Linked DNA regions of Diceros bicornis minor. The protein of the gene in region 2 purifies or fractionates together with the protein of the main gene of each other region. This does not show direct contact. Links are inferred from orthologs where the notes say so. Each region holds a gene or a part of one and is shown on either strand. Other genes may lie near its edges. The genes, in order: KLHL9 and NUDCD3.

Region 1 (9,373 bases), on a different chromosome or scaffold from region 2:
ATTTATTATATAAAGAGATGCTATAACTTGATATGAAAAACAAAGCAACTCTAATAGGCATTACAAAGGCAAAGAACATGAACATTCGATTAAAGAGGAAACACACCTACTCAAAAAACACAAATATTTAACCTTATTAATAATTGAGGAAATTATTAGAATGGCATTTCTTGCTTATTCAATGCACAAGGTTAACAGTAATTTCTACTTTTTCTATTTTCTAGATGTACTCAAATGTGCTATTTTTAGTAATAAAAAAGTGAGTCATTAAAAAAACACAGAAAGTATGAAAATTTCTGCCAAGGCAGAAATCACAAAAAGCATTTAATCAATCAACACTCGTATGGGCAATAAGGGTCAGATCTCTGGAAGCCAATTCCTTCTGTCTTGGTTCCTGAGTTTTATTATGGGATTGTCAATAACGAGGTTGTTCCTGACTTACACTATGACAATCTCCCAAGTATAGGGATATACATATATAGGTATGTAAATATATATATGTAAATTTTTCTTCAGGTAGACAATTTATTCCAGGAAAGCTTTTCTTTAGAATCACTACAGAGGACTCCTATGATTCCATTTGCTAAGGTCCCATTAAGATCTCCCCATGTGGTTCTCAACCATTAGAGATGCCCTAGGTATTGAAGAGGCTGAAAATCTCATTTAGTACTGCCTGCAAGACAGCAGTGTCCTAGGCTTTCTGTAGCTGGCTTCTTAGGGAATCTGAAGTTGGTCCTGTCCTTTAGACATAGCCGTAAGGACATTCTTCTGATTTGATGCAGACAAGAGCATATCACCTGCTTGCTCAGATCATAGGCTCGAGGCAGGTCACATAAAGCTCAGGACCCACATGGGGTGGTGCAGCACCACGGCAACCCCACCAGATCAAATAATCACGTTAGGATGACTAAGTTGGGAGACTGAACTTACAATCCTATAGCTTTGTTCAGCACATTTCTTTCTTTGCTTTTTTCATATCATAAGTTTTACCAAAGAAAAAGGTGGAAAATAGCAGAGCCTAAATTTACTGAGCAAAACAATTCTCGGAAACCTAAACTTTGCTAAATAACCTGTATAAAAGCAACTCTACAGAAAATAATATACAAGCAGAAAAAGTAGTAGACATTTCATCTGAAGTAACAATTTAGTCAAATGACAAATTTGGTTGTGAATTTAATATGCTGTAGCCCTTATCTATCTCAATTCAATTATGACTATATAGACATTTATTCTCTGGTACTGAATTCCCATTTAAATAGAAATAGCTGCTATATGAAAGAAAATAATTTAAATTTAAAACCAATTCTACTATAGCTGAAGAGCCAATCAACTTAATAATTATACATGTATATGTGTATGTACATATATACATATGTATGTATGTATATGTGTGTTTGTTTATATTTTCTCTCTCCCTGTCCCTCTCTCCAAAGAGATACTAAACCCTGACTTAGGGCTATGCTGTTTTTTCTAGTTAATATTTCTGAATTTATTGTTTCTCCTGTCTGTCTAAGAAACTTCACATTATCTGAATGCACTCACACAATCTGGTGAGTTGGGAGCTATGGCAAAAACTCTATGAAAAAAGGGAGGTAGCTAATAACGCTTGGTGATCTTTTGTTTATTCTTTTAGGTTAGAGCACACAGCCTCCCTTTGATGTTTTGCGGTCAAAGATGAAAACTTTCAACTTTGAAGCATAATGAACATAATTATACATTTACTACAATCATCTACAATTTGACTTACACAACACCACAAAAAGACATCTAACTTGAACATTTTTCTACATATCTTTTTACATTTGTTAAAACAGTTGGCTATGTTGAATACATTTTCAGAACACATTTGTTAACCATTGATAAACACATTAAGCCAAACAACACAAATAACATCAGTTACCTTTTTATCTAATAACTACCAATCACTGTTAAGAAGATACAGCTGAAGGGGAAAGAGATCATCCATGATGCACTGCAAAGGTATTACACCTTATTCCTAAGAATGATCTGAAGGTGCTGAAAGAGGTGATTCTCTAGAAGGTGACCCAGGGTTTTCTTCAGGTGGAAAAACTGTGAGAGTACAAGCTCGAATGCCACCAAGTGACTCTGGAAGGTCAAAAACTTTATGCCACTCATCCTTTTCTGGGTCATATTTCTGGACAATTTCTACCATACAACGATTATTCCAAGAATATCCACCTATAACATAGATTTTATTTTCAAAGACAGCAACTCCAACATCACTTTGACCTCTTAACATAGCAGCAATTGGTGTCCACTGGTCAAGGGTTGGTGAATAGTATTCACAGCTTAGAACATCATCATAATCACTTGTTCCTCTGAAGTGATTGCCACCAATGACATAGAGCTTGTCTCCAACTGTACACATGCAATGCAGGCCTCTGACTGTAGTCATTGGAGCTTTCTGTGTCCATTTGTCTGTATCTGGGTCAAAACACATGAGCTCATTTTGGAAAGTGTCATGAGTAATTCCTCCTGAAATATACATTAAGCCTCCATACACTGTTCCAGCATGGCCATAGTGGGGTTCACTCATTTTTGCAACATAACTCCACTCATTCATTCTTGGGTTGTAACATTCTACTGTAGCCAGTTCACCAGCTGCACTTCGCCCACCAACAGCATACAAATGTCCTTTGAGGGCACTCAAGTGGAAGAATGTGCGCTTTTCATTTAATGATGCAACCTGCATCCATTTATTATACCGAGGATCAAATCTGAAAACCGTGTCAACAGCAGTTTTTCCTTTTGTATCATAATTACTTTGACCACCAACTACATAAAGAAAGTTTCCAATGACAGCAATGCCATGCTGATAACGAGGAGCATCCATGGGGGCTAAAGATCTCCACTCTTGTGCCCTTTCATCATACATCCGTAATTCTTTACTGACAACCAGCTGCTGTCTCAAAACTCCTCCTAATGTAACCAAGTGTGTCGAGTCAGATCGAATAGCAGTTCTATCTGACTGCATCACTGGTTGCATATATGGCATCATTTGGTAATTGCTAGCTTCCAAAAGCAAATTCACACAGGTATTATCTGTTCTCATGAAATCTACTGTCTGCACATAATTGATGAGGTCCTGTGGTGTCATCAGTGGAAATCGAATATTCTTCATTAATTTTGCAGCATAATCCATCCGAGGGTCTTCCAACCTTAGCCAGCGACAGGCAGCCTTGAAGAGCTCAAGTTCAGTACAGTGCTTAAGACTATTACTGGAAAGCACAAAGGCAAGCCGTTCAAAAGGGAGTTTTAGAAACTCCCCAGTACTCAATAATGCAGGAAAATTCTTCAGGATGAAATTATTGACATATTTATCCACTTCTATAAGATTATAGGTGTTAGCAATTCGCCCAACTTCAACACAGTTATCTAGAGAGACTCCTGAAATAAGAAACACTTTACAGAAGTCCAAAACAGGTAAAATTTGTAAAAAGCTGGCAGCTTCAAGTGTGTCCTGAAGATTGTCCATATTAAGAGAAAGTTTTGCAGTATAAATAAAATCAATTATTTTCTTCAGACCAACCTTGTTCACCCCATGAAGCTTAATGCACATTAAATCTTGTTCTTTCATTCCCCCTGTGAACATAGCCTTGAAATAATCACTAGCAGATGCCATCATAGCTCTGTGAACAGGGAAGATTTCATCTCCATCACCTGGTACCAGGGTCACATCACAAAGCAATCCTTCTATTCTGAGCTGATCAAAGCCTTGCAATACCACGGAACTGTGAGTATTGCTGGTAAAGAAACGCGTGGTTCCTGCTTTGCAAGGCTGTAAATGGGCAGAAACGCCCATCTCGCCGCTACCAAGAGACACTTTCATGTGAAAGCCTTCCTCTTGCACAAAGACGTATGCCGGAGACAGAGGTCACAACCTGAATGCTTTAGGAAACGAGGATGTCCAAAGAGCAGGAGAGCTCGCTTTCCTTAGCAAGGGCAAGCAATCACTGCGGCACCCCTCGGAACACACCAATCAGTCATCCACTGAAAACCGCTCTGGCGCAGGACCACAAAGCGCTGTGGACCTCAAATCTCACTATTATGCAGATGATTCATCACCTGAAGCCAGTTAAGTGACCCGGTTCAGCTGGTCAGGCCTGCGCCGCCGCTCCTCCAGCAGTTCCTCTCCGAGCCGAGGGGAGCGCCGCCACGTACTGTGGCTCCGCGGCTCGCTCGGCGGCGAGGCCGGGCACCTCAGCGAGCGGCCCGCTGCGCCCTCCGCTGTCACGAGAGCGTCGCCGCGGCTACGGGTCTGTCTTGGAGCAAGGGCCTGGAACACGGGCCTGGGCCTGGATCTGGGCCTGGAACACGGGCCTAGACCCAGACGCCGAGCCGGTCCTTCCGGAAAGGCCGAGTCCCAGGATCCCCCGGGCTAGGAGCGGCCGCGGCAGCTACTGCGCCTGCGCGGCCGCCCGACCTGTCAGTGGGCGGGCGTGTGGGGGCTGGGGAGGAAGGGCGCAGGGCTCTGGAAGGGTGAGGATGGGGGTGGGCGCGAGCGGAGCCTCAGCGGGTCGCTTTGTCTGTGGGATTCAATAGGCCCGGAAGGGGTGCCCGTATATTATGCTGCACGTTTGCTGTCAACTCTTCACGGCATCTGAGCTCTCCCCACAAATGCGTACTTTTTCTTTAAGATTTATGCGTACTGGCTTCTGTATTTTGAATAACAATAAAATGCGGCTTTTGTAGAAATTGAAAGGAAATATGGCAGATGACGGCATAAGGGGAAGTTGCATGAAAATTTTCCTCTATTAAAAACTTTATAATTCTTATCCCACACAAAGTAATAGACACCTCAATTGTAACTTTGGTTCATATTTTCAAATTTTTCATTATTTAAAATACATATCATTTGTCTCTCTTAAAATACCAAATTGTGACCATGCTATGTAGATAATATAGCCTGAATTTTTGCCTCTCAGTGGAATTCCAACATCGATAATTTTTTCATACTTTTGTTTTCCACTCACAAATTTTTAAATGAGTACACAATTGTCCAATAACTAAACATACTGTAGTTTTCTTTCCCCATTGTTTGTTCTTGAACAAACATTGTTCAACATACAAGAACATTGTATGTTCTTGAACATACCTTCTTGTCTCCCATTGTTTTATAGAATCTTAATAAACCTATAGAATCTGGGCACAAACCTTTCCCTTGTTTCTCTATAAATCCTAAGGGTAAAATAGTGATTCAAGACATAAAAATTTGTTTCCAAATATTGCCACCAGCAATGTTTGAGTGTGCATTTCCCCTCTACTGATCTTTCCCTTTGTGGATATTTTATTAACTTGTATTTCTTTAATTACCAGTAAATTTAAATTTTGGCACATGAATAAATGTATACTTTGACACAATTTTTTCCAACATTTTTCACAGTTTGAAGTTATTACTGTCTTTTAAATCCTTCCGGTTTCTTTACACATATGCAAACTAATAAGAATATAGCTATATTCTTTTATTACACTCTCTCTATTTTTATATAAAAGATGGCATGCCCCACTCACTGTTCTGCACCTATCTTTTTTCACTTGGAGATCTTCAATGCATAGAGAACTTCTTTATCTTTTTAAGCAGTTGTATTGTTTCCCATTGAATGGGTGTGTCATAAATTATTTAACCAGGCCCCTACTGATGGACAGTTAGCTGGTTCCAATTGTTTTCAGTTGTTTTTGGTGGATAGCAGCAAGGTCCAGAAGGCTCAGACCACTGCTGTCCTCCACCAGATGCTTCAGCAGATCTTCAACCTGTTCAGCATAAAAGGATGGTTGGAATGAGACTGGCCTGGAGAAGTTCTTCCCTGGACTTTATCAGCATTGGGAAGTCCTTGAGACCTGCTTGGTGCAGGAATTGAGGATGGAAGGACTCCATACTGGCCATGAAGAGGTATTTCCAAGGAATCAGTTTCTATATGGAAAAGAAAGAATAGAACTGCTGTACCTGGGAAGTTGTTAGAGCAGGAAATCATGAGATCCTTCTCTTTATTGTCAAGCTTGCAGGGAATGTTAAGAGCTAAGGAACCAGACCTATAATCTTAATGAAACAATTCTTATGGAGAGATACAATTCATCATACTCCCACATGTTTAGTCATTTCAAAAGACTGTTTTTTCTGCCTTCATCATGAAATAAATTGAACAAAGTTTGTCACAACATTTGTTGATAGTATTAAGCAACTATAAGTTAAAGCATCCAGTTCAAAGAGGGCACCAGCCCAACATAGGTGACCCTATTAATGTACTTATGTACTTAACTATTTTGCTATATTTATTGTATTTCAATATTTTTAATAAATCAATGCCAAGACTGATATTGCAACCTCAAGTGAAGTATGGAGGTACAGTTCATTCATTCATTGATTTCATTCAAGCTATATGTAACACTTGAGTATCTAAATTACAGGTTCTATGACTGCCTTCACAGGATAAAAAGGTGATGAAAGAAAAGTGCCAGCCTTCTTGAAACTTTCCTTTTTGCTGGAAGAAAACATAAAAATATTGATCAATTAATTAATTTCAACTACATTATATGCTAACACCATAGGCAAAAGAAAAGTAGCTCCTATCACCAGAAACTGGAGGATGCAGACTCTCAACTTTGACAGTTGGACATACAGTTCTAGAATTTACAGAGGGTCAAGGCTAGAAGTGTTAACTTGGGAGCTGGGGTCTACCTGGTCCCTGAAGGCCAGAGAATGAATGAGTTCTTTTAGAAAGAGAGTAGAGACTAGGAAGATGACCAGAAACTGAACCTTAGGGACCTTCACATTTGAATGCAGGGAAGAGAATGAGGAGCCTGAAAAGGGCGCTGGAATTTAATGGCAGCACAATAGGAGGACAAGCAGGAGAGAATGGTGATGAGAAGATATTTAAGGAAAGAAATGTGTTTAAAAGCCAATGTCTTGTATTCAGGGAAAATGAGGGCTGTTTTGGCAGAATTAATTCCATAGAATCCAGACTGGAGTATATTGACTAAGGTTAAATAAGAGGAAAGGTGTTGGAGACAGAGTGGATAGAAAGTTCTTTTGAGAAGTTTATCTGTAAAGAGAAGAGAAATAGGGTAGGACCTGAAGAAAAAATGTGTGTTAATATTATTGGACCTAATTTTTTTAACCTTTTACAAACATTTTTTTGGGGAGACAGATTTCAAGAAATGGATGTAGTGGCACAAAGCATATAAAATCGATATTTTATTTCTTTTAAATAACTGCTTATTTAATAGGCTAAAATGTCAAGCATCATTGTTCAACTGTTTTAAAATACTAGTGGGCTAGAGAGTTTTTTCTTTTGCTTTGTTTGCTATTTTTAGTTCTCTTTATTTGGGTTTTATTTTATATTAACTACTTTTGTATTGTCCTTATGAATGATGTTTTATATATCTTTAATTCTTAAAAGTAGACATAAACCTTTCTATGCAGATGGCAGCTGTATTCCTATGATGCAACTCTTTGTCAATTTTATGTTGACAAATAACAGCTCATTTTTAAGTATTTTCTCCTGTGCCAGAATGTTGAACATGTAGGACCAGTCCTCTCCCATTCTCATTCCTCTATCGATCTTATGAATGATCAGTTCCCTTTTATATTTTATATCTTTTACATTTATTTCTATATTCTATTAGGATTTTATCTTCATCTATGAGACAAGAATCTAAATTGATTTGTGTCTAGATTGCCAGGTATTTATCCTGTTACCATTTACTGAAACTACTTTTCTTCCTTATTAACATCTAAGATACCCTTAATTCCAAAATTACTTATTACTGATAATACCACAATTTCTGGGATTATTTTCTTTATTACTCTGGTCACCTAACTTTCCTTACTGTCACCATGTTTATATTGTTGCTGTTTTATAAATACAGTTGATTTGTGGTGAAGCTGGTATGTAAGCTGGTATGTAAAGATGGTAAGGCTAGGTATGTAAGAATTTTTCCTGCTCTATTCTTTGATATTATTGCTTGATGATCTTTCCTGATTAACGTTTGAATTGTTCTACAGAGGTCAGCGTTGGCTTTATAAAAATCATGAAATTTTGTGGACTCAGAAATGACCATACTGCAATGAATGTAAAATTTTGAGAAACTTCCTTCATCAAATGGAAAAATGAAATTGGATTGGAGAATTTCTCTTCCACAAAAATCTAAGGGAAAGAGCAAAAATATATTAAAATCATCAGAAAGTACAAATGTAGCCATCAAAAAGAGAAGTACAGTGAAAAAGAGAAATCATAATTCTGCAAGTAATAGATAAAAACAAAACAAAACAGAAACCCAACATGTAACTTAAAGAATCAACCATAACTCACTATGTGGGATTCTGCATGGAACCCACATTCTGCCCAGAGGCAACTCAACTTCCCTGAGTTTCATTTTTCTTAAATGGAATATGGAGTAAAAAATATTTGTAGAGCTGATGTAAGTACATTTTAAAGCATTTAGGATCGTTCCTTCCTCGGAGTTAACATTTAATAAGTGATAGCCATTGTCTTCATTTTCTCCATATAAACCTATATGAGAATATTACATGTCTTTTTCTATAAACTGGTTTGAAATTGTACCATCTCACTCTTGATAGCTGACTGACCAAAGTCAGCTGAATTCTGGCAAGAACCTTGAAGACTGAAAAACAGGTATGCATCATATCAAAGATATGTTTGACCTATATTCAGTCAGCACAGTGGCTTAAATCAATATCTGAAATTGGGAGGAAGCTCCTAGACAGGAATGGGAAAGACATTGTATTCTTTTGCCCATTTTGGCACCTGCACACTTCTACTGGCACCTCTCCCAGCTTTCCTGGATCTATTACTTCCATGTCACAACAGTTTCCTTCTTCTTCAGTGTAGAAGTTACCAGGAACCCTCCTCCTTCACTCCGTTTACTTGCACTGCCCTTTTAATACAACTGCTTCCTGTTCTGTTGTGGTTTCTGGCCTAAAGCTTTCCCAGATGGACATAAGTAGAGAATAATAGTTGAACGATATTTCCAGATTTTGTTGAAACATATGTAAGAGAAGTATCCCTCTTTTATGTTGAATACTTTTGAACAGTGAGGGCAGCCCATGTAGTTCAAAGGAAGCAGAAAGTAGGATCCAGTGACTGTGGGCTAATAAAGCTGTCACAGGAAAAGAGGCCCCTGCTGACCAAGTGTGACAGGGCCAGAGACCAAGTCTGGAGGGCAGGCTTCTGGTCTGCATAGATGTGCTCCTTTCTACCTCCAGAAATTCCTCTGGAATTTTACTCCAGAGCTGATAAGGGGCTCTTTCCTGGCAGGAATTGACCCTAATATTGGCATAAGTCTCTTGCCATCGTCTTCGTTACAAAGAGAACGAGTCTTCATTTTCAGGCAG
Region 2 (9,988 bases):
GTCCTTCAGTAGGTGAGTGAATAAATAAACTGTGGTCCAACCAGACAATGGAATATTATTTAGTGCTAAAAAGAAATGAGCTATCAAGCCATGAAAAGACATGGAGGAACCTTAAATGCATATTACTAAGTGAAAGAAGCCAGTCTGAAGAGGCTACATACTACATGATTCCAATTGTTTGACATTCTGGAAAAGGAAAAACTTTAGAGACAGTAAAAAAAATCAGTGGTTGCTAGGCGTTAGGGGAGAAAGAGATGAACAGGCAGAGCACAGAGGATTTTTAGGGCACTCAAAGTACTCTGTGACACCATAATGATGGATATATGTCATCACACATTTGTCCAGACCCCATAGAACGAACAACACCAAGAGTGAGCCATAAAGTAAACCTCGAGTTTGGGTGACTATGATGTGTTGTGAAGGTTCATCAATTGTAACAAAAAGACCAGTCTGGTGGGGGACGTTGATAATGGGGGAGGCTGGACATGTGTGGGGGTAGGGGGTATATGGGAAATCTCTGTATCTTCCCCTGAATTTTGCTGTGAACCTAAAAATGCTCTAAAAAAATAGTCTCAATAAAATAAAAAATAAAAATGTTTACAAAGTTGGTAGGACTCAGTTTCCAAAGGGCTAGAATGCAGACAGATATTAAATAATCAGTGCTGTGCACTGAGCAGGAAGACAGAACAAAAGAAGGATACTAACATACTGAACTATGGCAAATGTTTTTACAAACATTCTCTCAAAACCCTCACAAAAGTGCTGTGAGGAAGACAGCACTGACGTTGCAAAGATGAGGAACAGTAACGCTCAGAGAGGGTAAGTAACCTGCCCAACGTCCCACCAGCAAAAGAAGGAAGTAAAATATACATATAGGAAGCAGTGAACACTGAAAGGAGATGTAGGCAGAGGAAAATGAATAAAATCGTACGGCTAAAAACTAGAAACAATAAAAGACCCAATTCTACTTCTTCAGAGAACCTGAGCCCCTGACTCATTTCTCTCACATCCATGTTTATGACAGCAGACCCTTTGCCCTCAGAGCCACTCATCCTCCTTAAGCCCCAGATCTTCATCTTAACTCCACAAAAAAAGCAACAGCGAAGCTCTCTCCTAACCCCTGGGACTTCCCTGGAACCCCAGGCCTGATACTCCTCATCGCACCCAATGCCTCTGCTCACTCAGCACTCCTACCTCCTCTAACTGGCCACCTGTTTCACCTCTCTACTCGCTACTGACCTCGGCACTCATTCTAGAATCACAGAATTGTGGAGCTGCATGAGGCACCTGTGACCTCCAATCAACCTTCTCAACTGACAGATGAGAGTGACTCTCCCGAGATTTCCCAACAAATTCAGTGAGGAACAGACAGAGCCGGATTTCCTGATTCTCCTGGGGGAGCTTCTACTTAGCAGGCCTGTCAAACTGGACTCCAGGATAAACACAGAGTATCAACCGACATGAATGAAATGGCATTCTAAACTTTTTTTTTTTTTTAAACATACTAATACATGATGGAGGGGAATGGGATTTTCACGTGCATCTTTCCTGCTGAGGGTCCTTCAGGCTGTGCATCCAGGCTGTGCAAGCCCTTACAAGTAGGAGGAAAAGTCTGAGAAGCCTTACGCTAACCACACCAACAGTCCACACCCCAAAATATCAGGGGAGAACTTCTGAGTTCCAGAACAAAGCACCCCAATACTCCCATCCAAACCCTCTTTGCCTGTGTTCTGAAGAGATCCCCAAGCGCCCCACCTCAGGTGGGGTGGACATATTCCTTCAAGTCAGCAGAGAAGAAACCCCCGGGGAAGCAGAGGAGTAGGAGTGGGGATCAGGTCATCACCCAACACCACTGAGAGGTAACACTGTGCTGCACCACAGCGCAGTCACTCAATCTGACTCAGTATCCTAATGTCCCACCCCACAACAACTCTTGCCCAATCCTGAACTCGCTTTACAAGCCTCCTGCCAAATGCCTCTGTGCATACAAGAATAGCTCCCAGGATTCATCTTGATCTACCCAACCAAAACACCCAGAGAATGTCTGCTTTTTTAAAGTTCCTTGGGCAATGCTGACAGTTGGGAATCACTTTCAACAAACAAGACACCCTTCTTAACCATCTGCTGGAAACTGTCCCCTTGTTTTCTGTGAAACTTACTGTCCTGCCCACTTCCCTCTGTCCCCCACCAATCACACCACCTCTTCTTCTCTCGTCCCTTCACTGGGATTGTTCCCCAAAGAACTGCCCTCCACCTTCGGCTCTTCTCTCTCCCTCAAACTGCTCCCGTTCCTCCATCTCCAAGGTCAGTGCCACGATTCCAACAGCCTGTGGGCAGGAACTTCTGTCTGCCAGCTCAAATTCAAGTTGTCTGAAACTAAGCTTTTTCCCCTAAACTTAGGTGGCAGTTCAGTTAATGCATTATCATTATTCCAGTCCCCTAAGTTTGAAACCTTGGATCATCTTCCACTCATTCTTCCCTCCCTCTGCCCTGCTCCCCACCTCCACTTCATTACACTGGTCACCAAGTCCTAACCTGTAAGAGTGCCTGGAACATATACTCTTTTTATGTTTTATACACTGTTACCAGAAAAACAAATTACCTCCGCCAGGTCATCTGTAAAACAACGGCAAAGACCAACTTTCAGGTTGTGTTAGGATTAAATAACATCCTAGCATGTACAATCACCTCACACAATAACTAGGAGATGCCAGGTGCTCAACAAATGTTCCTTTCTCCTCCACATCTTTTCTGTAAACTACAATCACCCTAGACAAAAGTGTTCCCATCCTCCTATGGCATGATTAAAAAACAAAAGACAAAGATCTAGAATCAGAAAAATGAAGTTTTGAGTTCCAGCTCTATGATAAATTTGGTCAAATAACCTAACCTTGCTGAATTAGCATCCTCATTTGCCACATAAAATTCAACCTTACCAATTTCACAGGGACTTCCATGAAAGCATCCAACTGCCACAGGGCCTGATAAAAACCATTACTCAGATGGCACTCAGCCACTGAAAGGATGAGGACTAGCCTGCAGTTCTAAAATTGAATACCAACCCAGCCCTCATTTGACCATATTATCTTTAGTAGTTACACATTCTAAGCTTTTGTTTCTTCATGCAGGCACTGAGAAAAACAACACCTGACCAACCTGCAGCTTGTGGCAAGACTTCAGGAGGTAACATTTGAAAGTACTTTATAAACCGCAAAGTGCTAGAGAACTGTGGAAGGTATCACCAGCATTTCTATCGTCTCAGGTTCCTACAAACAGACTCAATGCTTGGCTGAGTACCTGCTTTCAATTCCATCAAAGTCCCACCTCCCCTACAAAATCTTTCTTGATTTCCAGAACCATCCCTGCTGTTCCTCTCCTCTGCTCACTTCCCTCTGGGCTCTGTCACATAACTGGCCTTGCATAGTTCTCTGTTACTGTGTTTTATCTTCCTAACGATAATGGAAGTGTCACAAGGAGAGAGACCATCACTTACACCATCCACATCACCACTGTATCTCCAATGCCTGTGGCAGTTGAGAGAATAAACACATTCAGAAAATACTTATTACATTCCAAGGTACCCAGTCAACGTCAGTGACTGAGTATTAACAGTATCTCAAACACACAGTAAACGCAACCTGGGATGTATAAACATGTGCTCAAATGTATAAATTCCCTGAGTACTATGACTGTCTTTGACCTGGAAAGTCACATTTCGAACAAGGGGACCACACCCACCGATCACCACAATCTCCTTTCCACCTCCAGTCTCTGAAGTCCCGGGGCGTGCAGGAAATCCGTGCTGCCGCTGCCTCCCCGTCCCGCCTGCACGGTTTTCATTCCCTGACTGGCAGCCTCCGGCACCTCAGAAGGTTAAGCGCTGCGGGAGCTGAACCGGGCCCAAGTGCACCCTGCGTCAGACCGGGCTGCACAAGAGCCAGTCCAGCTCCCACAGAGGGCTAACTTGATACCCCACCAGCATCTCGGCTTACCCTCAGCCGCGGCCCCAGGGGGCGGGTCCGGGGAAGGGCCAGAGGGGGCCACTAAGGCTGGGAGCGGAGAGAGGCGCGGAGGGGCCCGGGGGTCCGGCGCTCCCGCGAGCAGACTCGCGGGGCTCGGGGTCTCGAGGGTACAGGGGCTTCCGGGGCGGGCTCGCGCGAGTCCGGGCACTCGCTGCCCCCCATCCCGGGCCGCCCGCCCCCGCGAGTTACCTGCAGCACCAGCGCCTGCGCGGCCCCCGGCGGGAAGCCCATACGGTCTGACGGGTGGCGCAGCAGGCGGTAGAAGTCGGTCTTGCGGTAAAGGAAGCCGAAGAGGACGCGCAGGAAGTCCTGGACGTTGCCCACGTGCTGCAGGATGCCCAGCAGGGCCTGGTCGTACAGCTCCGCCGCCCCGGGCTCCATGGCGTCGCCGGCCGGAGGGAAGCTTGCTCACTGCGGGCGCCGCCCGGACACCGGCCCCCGGCCACTTCCGGTGCGCTGCGGTAACGGCTCCGCCGCCGGCGCGCCCGCGAGACTTCTGGTCCGCGCTGGTTCAGCACCCGCGGACGGGCTGGGCTGGGCCGGGCTGCACTAGGGCGGCCTTGCCGCGGGCCCCGCCCTCGCCGCCCTGCCCTCGCCGCCCTGCCGGCTTCCCCCGGCGGCCTCACTAAGGAGCGACGTGGGCGCCGAAGTGCGCCTAGGCGCAAGAGGGCATGGGGCTGCGGGACTGACGGCGCCTAGCAGCCATGTTGGAAACGGGCGGAAGAGTATGGCGCGGGCAGAGTCATGTGAGGCCTCCAGCATTGTCACGTGGTGTATGGGTAGGGTTCTCGCTTGGGTGTCCCGACTCCCAGGGTACAGGCGGGACGGCGAGCGCCGTCTGCTGGTGGGTCAGGTGGGGAACATGCGTGCGTGCGAGTGGTGTGGGTCCTGTTGATAATGAAAGGAGAAATGCAAGGTGACGTGCATAAATAAAAGAAGAAAAGAATATAAAGCGAGTGCATGCACGAATCTTAAGTGGGGAGAGCTAGGTGCAGAATAGAGAATCGGGTGTGCCGTCATTGTGAAATATATATGTGTGTGTGTAGTATATACATGTGTGTGCATGGTATACATACACACTGCATATATACATGTCCTAAGTATCTGACCAAGTTTAATCTTCTTTCAAAAAGTTAAAAACATAGCACTCATACAAATATAAAATGATCACGTCAAAGATTGTATTCAACAATTTAATTAACAAAGTAACCAGTGATGTGATAAAGCTGGTTCAAAGAGCATTTGGAGGAACTGGATATTTATAGCATTTTGAGAAAACAGAGTACGATTGTTAGGTTGAACACAAAGCTAGCTGGTGTCCTACAAAATAATAAAACCATAGGTTATCTTTTCTGATGGATGGAAATGATTTGCATCTCTACTGGAATAAAATCTAGGAGTTAACATATGTCTTCATAGTATATGGGCTCTGATGAACTGTAAATAAACTCAAACTCAGCTAGATTGCCCTAGAGCATTGGTTCTGAAACTTTTTGGACTTAGGACCCATTTGCGCTCTTAAAATTTATTGAAGACTCCAAAGAACTTTTATTTATGTGGGTTATGGTTATCGATAGTTACCATATTAGAAATTAAAATTGAGAAAATTTTAAAATATTTATTTACTCACTTTTAAATAACCGTAAAAACCACATTACATGTTAACATTTTTATGAAGAAATAATGTTCTTTAAAGCAATAAAAGTTTAGTGAGAAGAGTAGCATAGTTTTACATTTTTGCAAATCTCTTCCTTGTCTGACAATCGAAGGCAGCAAGATTCTCCCATCTGCTGCATTCACTGCATCAAAATATGTTGTTTTGATTGAGGTATGTGAAGAAACCCAGTCTCACACAGACAGCAGCTGGAAAAGAGAGGAGCGTTTTAGCTGTCTTTTCAAATAAATGCATTATTCTTTGAAAGTACACCAAAATTCACCACAGGTGGTAGTTTCTTAAAGGTTAGTTGCAATATGGAATCTGAAACTTTATCAATAAACATTTCCTACTTTGTCATGTTAATATTCATTGGTCTATCTCGCACTTTGAATGGATCCTGCACATGCATTATTTTTGTAACACTATGCATTCATCATTTGAAAACATTTGTCCACTGAGTATGCAGTTCTTCCAAATGTTCACTCATTTCATTATACAATACCAAAAAAAAAAAAAAAAACCCACATACAGTAATATCATTACTGGATTCCTCAGAGAAGTTTTTAATTATTGGGAATCTCATGGAGCCAGGATGCAGATTTTCAAAAACTCTAATTTTTACTTGAAAACTTGAACTTTATTATTGGCAATAAATAACTATCAATTGCTTTTCTTGAAGTGACAGGCTCACTTCCTTCTGTTAGTCATTCTTTCATTAAAAATGGTGTTCCGTGGGTTCCCTGTGTCTCTCGCCCTTCGAACTACAACTAAAAGGACATTCATTGATCAGCGGAGGATACCCACACAGCACACCAGGATGCCTGAGAGACATGAGCAGCTGCATATCTGAGGGTGGGTGGACTACCTCTCCCCCCAGGAGGTGGTGGAGATAGACCAGAAGGAAAAAGACAAACACCTAGAAACTAGTCCTGAGGGCATGGAAATCTATGATATAAATGACAAAGAATTCAAGACAGCTGTCATAAGAAAACTCAATGAGCTACAAGAGAATTCTGAAAGACAGTTCAATGAAATCAGGAACCAAATTACTGAATAGAGGGAATTCTTCACAAAAGAGATCGAAAATATAAAGCAAAATCAAACAGAATTGTTAGAGATGAAAAACACAATAGATGAGATAAAGAAAAATCTGGAGTCCTTAAACAACAGGGCTGATAATATGGAGGATAGAATTAGCAATCTGGGGGCTGGCCCGGTGGCGCAAGAGGTTGGGTGCACGCGCTCTGCTGCGGCGGCCCAGGGTTTGCTGGTTCAGATCCTGGGCGCACACCGATGCACCACTTGTTAAGCCATACTGTAGCAGCATCCCATATAAAGGAGAGGAAGATGGGCATGGATGTTAGCCCAGCGCCAGTCTTCCTCAGTAAAAAAAGAGGAAGATTGGCATTGGATGTTAGCTCAGGGCTGGTCCTCCTCACAACAACAACAAAAAAAAGAATTAGCAATCTGGAGGATAGGAACACAGAAATGCTTCAGAGGGAAAGAGAACTTAGACTACAAAGAAATGAAGAAATTCTCCAAGAAATATCTGACTCAGTTAGGAAATGCAACGTCAGGATTATAGGTATTCCAGAGGGAGAATAGAGGGAAAAAGGAGCAGAGAGCTTGTTCAAAGAAATAATAACTGAGAACTTCCCAAACCTGAAGACAGAACTGGAATTACATGTAAAAGAAGCCAACAGGACTTCTAATTACATCAATGTAAAAAGACCTTCTCCGAGGCATATATTAGTAAAGCTGGCAAAAGTCAATGATAAAGAAAAAATATTAAGGGCAGCAAGGCAGAAGAGAATAACCTGTAAAGGAAGCCCTATCAGGCTTACAGCAGATTTTTCAGCAGAAACCTTACAGGCTAGGAGAGAGTGGAATGATATATTCAAAATTTTGAAAGACAAAAACTTTCAGCCAAGAATACTATATCCAGTGAAAATATCCTTCACATATGATGGAGAAATAAAAACTTTCCCAGATAAACAAAAGCTGAGGGAGTTCATTGCCACAAGACACCCCCTACAAGATTTGATCAAGAAAGACTTCATACCTGAAAAAAAAAGAAAGAAAGGGTTTACAAAGCCTTGAGGAAGCAGATAAATAGGCAGATAAAATCAGAAATTGCAACTCTCCGTCAGAACAGATTAGCAAACACTTAATTATAACTCTAAAGATAAAGGAAAATAAAACATCAAAAATAAATATTATCACTTCATTTTAACCACAAATTCACAATGCATAGTGGAATAAGTTGTGACAACAACAACTTAGAAGGGGAAGAGGAAAGTGATGAAACCTGCTTAGACTAAGGGAACAAGAGGCTATCAGGGAATGGACTATCTCATCTATGAGATCTTTTGTACAAACGGCACAGTAACCACTAAACAAAAAACCAGAACAAATACACAAGTGATAAATAAAGAGAGAACTGAGAAAACCATCATAGAGAGCCACCAAACTGAATTAACAATCCAAAATACGTGGGACGAGAAACAAGGGAAATACGTAATAACTGAAAAACAAGAGACAAAATGGCAGCATTAAGCCCTCATGTATAAATAATCACTCTAAATGTAAACGGATTGAATTGCCCAATCAAAAGGCACACAGTGGCTGGATGGATTAAAAAACAAGACCCAAAAATTTGCTGCCTCCAGGAAACACATCTCAGCTCTAAAGACAAACACAGGCTCAGGGTGAAGGGGTAGAAGACAATACTCCAAGGTAATGGCAAACAAAAGAAAGCAGGTGTTGCCATACTTCTATCAGACAAAGTAGACTTCAAGATTTAAAAAGGTAATGAGAGACAAAGAGGGGCAATATGTAATGATAAAAGGGACACTCCACAAAGAAGACATAAGACTTATATGCACCCAACACAGGAGCACCAAAGTACATAAAGCAACTATTATAACAAACCTAAAAGGAGATATCAACAACAAAACAATAATAGTTGGGGACCTTAACAGTCCACTTACATCAATGGATAGATCATCCAGACAGAAAGTCAATAAGGAAATAGTGGACTTAAATGAAAAACTAGACCAGGTGGACTTAATAGGTATATATAGAGCACTCCATCCAAAAAAACAGATTACACATTCTTGTCAAGCATGCATGGAACATTCTCAAGGATAGACCATATGTTGGGAAACAAGGCAAACCTCTATAAATTTAAGAAGACTGAAATCATAACAAGCATGTTTTCTGACCATAATGCTATGAAACTAGAAATCAACTTCAAGAAAAAAGCTGGGAAAGTGACAAAGATGTGGAGACTAAACAACATGCTACTGAACAACCAATGGATCATTGAAGAAATTAAAGGAGAAATCAAAGAATACCTGGCGACAAATGAAAATGAAAATACACCATACCAACTCATATGGGATGCAGCAAAAGCAGTCCTGAGAGTGAAATTCATAGCAATACAGGCCCACCTTAACAAACAAGAAAAAGCCCAAATAAGCAATCTTAAATTACACCTAACAGAATTAGAAAAAGAAGAACAAACAAAGCCCACAGTCAGCAGAAGGAGGAAAATAATAAAAATTAGAACAGAAATAAACAAAATCAAAACCAAAAAAACAGTAGAAAGGATCAATAAAACAAAAAGCTGGTTCTTTGAGAAGATAAACAAAATTGACAAACCCTTAGCCAGACTCACCAAAGAAAAAACAGAGAAGGCTCAAATAAATGAAATTAGAAATGAAAGAGGAGAAATCACAATGGATATCACAGAAATACGAAGGATTATAAGAGAATACTTTGAAAAACTATATTCCAACAAACTGGACAATCTAGAAGAAATGGATAAATTCTTAGACTCATACAACCTCTCAAACTGAATCAAGAAGAAATAGAGAACATGAATAGACCAATCACAAGTAAAGAGATTGAAACAATAATCAAAAACCTCCCAAAAAATAAAAGTCCAGGACCAGATGGCTTCTCTGGAGAATTTTACCAAACATTCGAAGAAAGTTTAATACCTATCCTTCACAAACTATTCCAAAAAACAGAGGAAGATGGAACACTTCTTACCACATTCTCTGAGACCAACATCACCCTGATACCAAAGCCAGACAAGGAAAATACAAAGAAGGAAAATTACAGGCCCATATCACTGATGAACATAGATGCAAAAATCCTCAACAAAATATTGGCAAACCGAATGCAGCAATACATTAGAAAGATCATACACCACGATCAAGTAGGATTTATACCAGAGACACAAGGATGGCTCAACATCCGCAAATCATTCAACGTGATACATCACATTAACAAAACGAGGAAT

The links.
Region 1: the proteins of NUDCD3 (region 2) and KLHL9 purify together in Homo sapiens (co-immunoprecipitation; 3 studies listed by BioGRID and IntAct, with this or other methods). This does not show direct contact. The link is inferred for Diceros bicornis minor from reciprocal best matches to the Homo sapiens genes NUDCD3 and KLHL9.

Annotation. Positions count from the first base shown.
Region 1 is NC_080761.1:43,537,097-43,546,469, forward strand, and holds the start of KLHL9 (kelch-like protein 9), read right to left. Parts: upstream 4,376-9,373; 5' UTR 3,851-4,375; coding exon 1,997-3,850; 3' UTR 1-1,996.
Region 2 is NC_080780.1:1,557,188-1,567,175, forward strand, and holds the start of NUDCD3 (nudC domain-containing protein 3), read right to left. Parts: upstream 4,538-9,988; 5' UTR 4,404-4,537; coding exon 4,212-4,403; intron 3,917-4,211; exon of another isoform or gene 1-3,916.